Linked DNA regions of Drosophila melanogaster. The protein of the gene in region 1 purifies or fractionates together with the protein of each later gene. This does not show direct contact. Each region holds a gene or a part of one and is shown on either strand. Other genes may lie near its edges.

Region 1 (3,516 bases):
TCTCCGAGTCCCAGGAAACGTTCTTCATGTCCGCCACCATCTTGTCGTACTTGTAGTCCAGGCAGGTGGTGTTCGATTCCTTCAATAGCATATCGTTGACCAGGCCCAAACGGGTCACAGGTGGACCAGCCGTGGTGTTTAGCATGACATCGCAGATCTATGGAGTTCAAACATTCTTAGTATGGACTTGATAGGGATCAAAGTGAGGATGAAACACACGTCGTCAATGGTGATGGTGGCATGGGGACTGTTGTCCTTGTTGTATTGCACCACTCCAGCAAAGTTGCCAGCCAGATTCTCAAAGAAATTGGCCATGTCCAGGTCGTTTTCAATGGAGTCCTTGATGGGAGTGCATGTTCTGAGTATAAAATGGTTTACAAAATTAAAATTTGTGCAGGACGATAGCCTAATCCACTCACTTGAACTTCTCGTCCAGGCTGCGTTGTCCAATCATGTGCTTGAGTAGAATCTCCACTTGCGCAAAGCTGCGGGTCACGGCGTCCACGCATTCGGGCTTGTAGGCAGCTAGAGAGGCTTTGACCACCTCGAAATACTCCTTGAAGTCAACCTCAGCCAGCAGAGGACCACTGGAGCTAATTGAACCGTAGATGAGCTCGGGATACTTCTCGCGTGCCCAGGCGGCCAGCGATCCCGGATAGGAGCCACCGAAAGCGATCCATTTCTGGCCATCGCCCAGATTGAACTTAACCTTCATGGCGGTTACAAAGCTGGCCAAGTCCTCCAGAGCCTGCTCCGAGCTGAGATAGTGCAGATTTTCGGTGGACAGATCAGCGGTGGGATGGCTCTTGCCATAGAAACGATGCTCCAACTGCAGACACAGCGCTCCAAAGTGCTCGGCATAGTGCACCCAGGCTCCTTCGCGCATCCACTTGGCCGACGCCTCGCCCTCGCCACCGATCATCAGGAATACGGGTGCGGAGCTGTCATTCCGATAGAAGTCGGCATTCACAAAGTATCGCTGCTGCCAGGTGCGCTTATCGCTCGACTTGAAGTGATCCAATCGCTGCTCGAACCACAGATCCTCCGAGTGCAGGCTCCTTTGCAGGGTTGGAATCTTGCTGGGCTCCCCGAGGAATCCCTTGGTCAGCCTTCCGCGTCGAAATCCCATTCCGGAAATGGGCGCAAGCAGTCCCAGGAGCAGAAGACCCACTCCCAAGGGCCTCAAAACGCCCCCAATGAAAAGCATATTTGCTTCCTTTGTTTGTTCGGGTCAAGTAGAATTTGCCAGTAATTGAAGTATTTAATTAGTTGGAACCTCGCACAGTGCCTAACTGTAAATAGCGACTGAAGGAGAGTGGTGTGTTCTATTTATATAGGCACCGTTATGTGTGTCGCACTCTCCTGATTATTCAGTTCTCGCTGTATTATCTATATTCGCAAAGCCGGCAAAGCAAAACTAAAACAGTAGGGGCATTCATAGTTATTGATTTCAATCATTAATTGAATTAATTTAATTTTAAGCAGAGAAAGATTTCTGTATGCTGTAAGTGTTCTGGTAACTTTACAAAACTTAATTTAGCTTTTTATTTATTTATATTATTTCCTAGCTAGATATTATCGATGAGCTTAATAGCACCGTAAATGTGAACGTGTTTTGCAAAATTTTTGTCAAGTAATTAAGAAAAGTATACATTCTTGCATGCTTTGATAATTTCCATCTGCGTGTAATTTTAAATTCTCACTGAACTAATTTAATGGAAGTTTCCTGAATTTCAAATGCTTTAGGTAGCTTTAATAAACAACATATAGTTTATTTGAATTATTCCATATATTAGGTAAATATTATTGTGGAGTTTCACTGTGCCGTTAATGCGAAAGCTTAATAAATGTATTTGTCAAAAATTTTAGGAAATTGTGCATGTGTATGCGTTGTTTTTATATTTTTCATCTGTATAGTCAGTTATAAGTAGCCAAATTTAGTAACTAGATTTTGTAGCTAAGTATGGCAGCACTGTTGCTGTGGTAGCATCTCTTTGTATTCTGAAAACGGTAACACTAATTGCGCGACAATTTGGATTGTTTACGTTTTTATCCAGTTTAATTGTAATATAATTTAAAAAAAATATTGTTGTTAACTGTCATAATGGACTTCAATAGCCTAGCCTACGATCAGAAGTTCTTCAATTTCACAGCGGCACAGTTGTCTGCAGAGCGTGAGTGCTACATCCTTATATCTCTGGATCAGCGTCCTTTATCCATTAATTCCTTTTAAATAGGCGAACATATTGTGCAGGACATAATTAAGAAGGGTATTGGTCAGATCATCGACAAGATCAAGACACCCGCCACAGCGGAATTGCTGGAAGCCGAGAAGGAGACCGTTGAGCGTCGTTTCCAGGCATCCGCCTCCAAGGGCCTAAAAGCCCTCAGGGAACTGGACAGCAAAGTGTTCCACGTTCCACCGCATGTGCTGCATCCGGAGCACATGTTCGTCGAGAATCAGTATACCAGCGAAGAGGAGGAGCAGAAGACAGCCAGGTTGGAGGAGCTGAAGGCCAAATACAGAGAGGTAACTTGTAGAACCAATGGAAACTATCTTGTATGCCTCATTTTAATCATTATAATGGGGAAAAGGATGCTTTATTTTATGTTTTAATAATGCTAAATCACATCAATTTCAGAACATGGCCATGCTGGCGCATTTGAAGATCGAGGAGGAGAAGTACGCCGCCATGGAGGATCTCATCCAGAAGGAGATCGAAATGCAGGATCGCGTGCAGCGAAGCTGCTCCTCCCTCAACATCACCAAGCTGAAGCAATTCTGGAATCAAGTGCCCCTGCAGATAAAGAAGGAGACTGATTAAATAAACTAACTGGATCAAGTTTTTTAATCTACATTTCCAATATCTTCTTTCGAAACTAGTTTTAACCCTGGAGTCATTTATAATCACTAAGACTCTTCTATATTCCACTTTACCTATTATTATGTCGTTAACTTAGTTTTAAACTTAAAATTAAATTAAATTAAAATTATTATGAATCCGAAACACCTAGATGATTACTTACTAGTTTTAAACCAATTTACCTTAGCATTATATTAGTTCCTTTGACAACAGCGGCAACCAAGCAACGGTCGCTGTTTAAATTTTCCAACTGCCTTGTTTTCAAACAGAAAACAAGCCGGTTAAAAAGTTTCAAGCACAGAACAGACACAAAAACCCCCTTATATGTTACATTTCGAATCGTATATTTTGCTATAAGCCTGGAAAAATGGGAGACTCGCACGATGTCTGCAGGCAGCTGCTGCCGCGCGCAATCTTCGGCATCAATGGCAAGGTGGAGAATGGAGTGCGCCAGCATCCGGTCACGGGATCCATCATCTTTGCGCTGGGCAACAAAATCGGCATCGCCGACTACAAGAAGAATACGCAGGAGTTTGTGGCCGGACACACGAACACCATATCGTGCCTGGATCTCAGCAAGAGTGGCAAATACATGGCCTCCGGTCAGATCAATCACATGGGCTTCCGCGGCTATGTGATCATCTGGAATTAC
Region 2 (3,754 bases), about 14 Mb from region 1:
TGGCGTGGGCCAAGAAGTTTGTATTGTCAAGCATCATCTCATCCGCCTGGGATAGTCGATACTTCTGCTTCTCATCCGCCGCCTTTAGTTTCTCCTTGTTCTTTCCAACTGGACTTGTTTTCGTCGGCGTCAAGGTCATGTTCTCACTGAAATTTAACATTCCTCGTGGCACTATGCTTCTTATATCTTTCTTTGGACTATTATCTCCCGCGCTCTCCTCTTCAAGGCCGCACCAAAACCGATTTTTCTTGGCCTTACGATCCGTGGTCGGCGTTTTTGGCCCGTTCGGAAATATCTGGATCTTACCCGTCTCCAGGTCTTCGTTGAGTTGACGAAAATTGAGTTTCTTGCTTATGTTTTTCCCCGAAATCATGTCGAATGGTATCAGCATCGACTCATCTCTCGTAAAGTTCATGGTGCTATTAAGGCTCTCAAAGGAGTTCGATGGCGAACGATCTCGGTTATTGGAAACTGCAAAATAATGTGACAACCGAAAACTTGCTAATTAGAAACTATTGGGAAGGGATTTAACTGAGATAATACTAACCATTTAATGAGAAGGATGCACCTCCAGCTCCCTGTTGGGTTTTATTCTTGGTCTCCCCCACGTCCATGAAAAGCGATTTCTGCGCCGGAGTTTTTGTCTGGTTTTTGGTGGACTCACGCATCTCCCTTACAATGCTGTCCTCTTCGAGCTCCATTAAACTTTGTTGAGTTGGAGGATATAGAGTTGCAACTGGAGCTGGAGCGGGAGCAGCAGGATTGGGATCAGTAAATCCCAATGGCGTGATGTCCATGAAGGAGTCACTCACAGCCTTGACAGCTGGCGTGAATACCACCTTCTCCAGTTTGTTTGTTGCCACTTTGATGGAGGATTCCTCACAAACGCTCGACGCGATTTGGTGGCGGTTGACGAGAGATCCGGATATCAGATCCATGGTCTTGTCTACCAGCTGGCGGTCGCTGAGACTGCTTTGCAACAGTTTTCGCTCCTCGGAGGTCATGCAAAAGGACACAGCAGAGATTGAGGATGTCTTCCTCGATTTGTCCATCATTTCGCAGGGCAGCAGGGTGAAATCCACGCTGGCCTGCAGATTCACGGACAGATCGACATGTTCCCGCTCGCAGTGGCTGGGCAGGGGAATGTTCTCCTTGTCGGCATGTTCGGAAACCCTCGCTACTGATGCTGATCCTGTGCTGCAGCACTTCGATCCCGAGCTGTCCTCAGCATGGTGTTCCGACACCTCGTACGAGTCGTCCCAGTTGTTGGTCTCCTTGGTGTTTACGAATTCCCTATGTGGAGGGCGGGTGAGCGTTGTACATCGCATATATCTACTGTACGTACCTCACGGACTTCTTGCCACTGAAACTGATGCGTCGCTTGATTTGTTGTTTGATCGCGGACGTTGTTGTGGTCGCCTCATCTTCCTTGGTCGGCACCTTACGCAGCTGCAAGAAGAGTAGGTCTACCATGAGCGCTTCTCAATCAATTAATTTTCGAAGAACCCACCGAACTTCTGCGTTTGTTTGCGTTCATCGCGCCGTGCTGTTAACTTGTTTTTATTTCAAAATCCCATTGGAGAGACGCCGCGATTTTTGTGTTAATGGCAGACGGTGTTGCCAGATCGTTGGCGATAGATCGCTAGAAATACCAAAAGTATTTTTGATATGCCCAAAAGGCACTAACGCCTAACCAAAACCGTTGTGATTCAAATTTTACGAAATTTGCTAAAATCTTTGGATTTAAAAAATTTGTTAAGTTCATTGCTCTATGAATAAAGTTGGAATCAACCAGTACCCTCTTCTCTAGGGTGTTGCTAGACCAAAATACCAAAAATAAATTCTTTTAAATAAAGCTGAAGAAATAAATTTATGTCATAATTTGAATAAAACAAAAAAAGTTTTAATCCGATAAATTGCGAATAATTAAAAATCCATTGTCCGCACTTCACACACATCGTTAATTTTATTAACCATTAAAATCCAATATTAAATCACAAGTTTCGAAACTTTCGAGGAAATAGATCAGGCTTTGAAGGTGTCCTTTTCCTTGCGCAGCTTGCCCATGGTGACGACGGGATCGGTGGCTCCGCCAGCGTGCTTCTGCACGGTGGCTTCGTGAACGCGCATAAAGGGGTTCCAGGACTTCTCCTCGCCAATGGTGGAGGGCACAGTGGGATCCTGGGAGGCGCGCCGGTGCTTGGCCCACTCGATCCTCTGCTGGATGACCTCGTTGTCGGGCTCGACGTGACGGGCGAAGCTCATGTTCTGCAGCGTGTACTCGTGGCCACAGAACACCTTTGTGGCGTCCGGCAAGGCGGAGAGCTTTGTGCACAGCGCCTCGTACATTTCCTCGGGAGTGCCCTCGAAGAAGCGGCCGCATCCGCCCTGGAAGAGGGTGTCGCCGGTGAAGACGGCTCCCTCGCCGCTGCCCTGCTGCGCGGTGATGTGGTAGCAGATGTGGCCGGTAGTGTGGCACGGCGTGGACAAGCACTTGACATGCAGACCACCAATGGTGAAGGTGTCGTCCTGCTGAACCTTTTTGTTCAATGCCCCGATGCGGTCATCGCCGCCATACACGTCCAGCTCCTTCTCCCACAGCTTGAGCAGCTTTTCATTGCCACCGGCGTGGTCCCAGTGATGGTGCGTGGTCAGCACCTTGCTGAGGGTCAGCTGCTGCTCCTGCACCGTCTTAATGACCAGCTCCGGCTCCACGGGATCCACCACGGCCGCCTCGCGCGTCTTCGTGTCTACAATCAGATACATATAGTTATCCTGCAGGGCCGGCAGGATCTTGATCTCCATGCCCTCCAGCTGCACGTCCTCCAATGTGCTGTGCATGCCTCTGAAGCCGACTTTTCGTAGTTTTTGCACTGAAACGAAGCGATGGTTTCACATTTAGCTACATAGATGGCCAACAGATAAACAGACTGACTAGCTACGGACGAACAAAAAGCGTAGATACTGGGAAATGAAATTGCAGCACCGGGAGAGATTAGATTAAACACGTATGTACGGATAGATTACGCTTGACGAGACTTGGACAGATGACGGGCACAGCCAGAAAACGCCGCCGAATCGCTCCGAAACCAGGGGCATCCGCTCGAGGAATCGTCCGCCAGGAACGCAGGAGCAGTGTCGGATTGCTGGACGAACCTCGGAAGTAGGTGGCCGTCAACTGGGTCTCCACGGAGGTGGCCACGCTGCGCCAGGCGGAGGCCAACATTCTGTACTTTCGGCTAGATAAACTGAAAAGCGTGTGCGATTCGAAATGAATTAATTATGGCTCCTAATTACAGTTGTTTTTTTCTCCAAATCTGCTATGCTCGGGCGAGTGTGACCGTTTGGGGGCCGGTAAGGGAAACCACTGACGGGTACACCATCTACCGGAAATATACCGAAACATACCTGCAAACGTAGTGGTGGCTCAAACCGGAAATGAAAAGTTTTATAGCACAGACATAAGCCAATAATAATAAAAATACATTTTTATATTAAATTATATATTCTTGTCTCTAGGCCAAAGAGTATATGTTCTCTTCTGTGGTAAAAAGCTTATAAGTTAACTTTTTGGCACGCCTAACTTGAATTCAGATCATATGTACGAAAAAGACGTCAGTTGGCTTTGAAGCGGCACGTCATAAGTTTAGAACATAAAGTCACTATGTCGGAATCAACCGATCCCCATTGCGCCACCTCCAAGTCCAACCTGATCAAGGTGAACCACGTGGGGGTGACGGCCAAGCTGCAGTCT

Evidence for each region. The genes of interacting proteins can lie anywhere in the genome.
Region 2: the proteins of Mis12 (region 1) and Spc105R purify together in Drosophila melanogaster (affinity purification with mass spectrometry; 2 studies listed by BioGRID, with this or other methods). This does not show direct contact.

Annotation. Positions count from the first base shown.
Region 1 is NT_037436.4:6,967,523-6,971,038, reverse strand, and holds Mis12 (Mis12), read left to right. Parts: upstream 1-1,990; 5' UTR 1,991-2,104; coding exon 2,105-2,174; intron 2,175-2,237; coding exon 2,238-2,530; intron 2,531-2,642; coding exon 2,643-2,825; 3' UTR 2,826-3,004; downstream 3,005-3,516. Other genes in the region: CG9953 (uncharacterized protein), read right to left, coding at 1-157, 220-358, 420-1,207; CG10064 (uncharacterized protein), read left to right, coding at 3,232-3,516.
Region 2 is NT_037436.4:20,798,262-20,802,015, reverse strand, and holds the start of Spc105R (Spc105-related), read right to left. Parts: upstream 1,607-3,754; 5' UTR 1,538-1,606; coding exon 1,511-1,537; exon of another isoform or gene 1,474-1,510; coding exon of another isoform or gene 1,450-1,473; coding exon 1,346-1,449; intron 1,294-1,345; coding exon 548-1,293; intron 472-547; coding exon 1-471. Other genes in the region: tzn (tenzing norgay), read right to left, coding at 2,026-2,873, 3,028-3,226; CG3698 (uncharacterized protein), read left to right, coding at 3,665-3,754.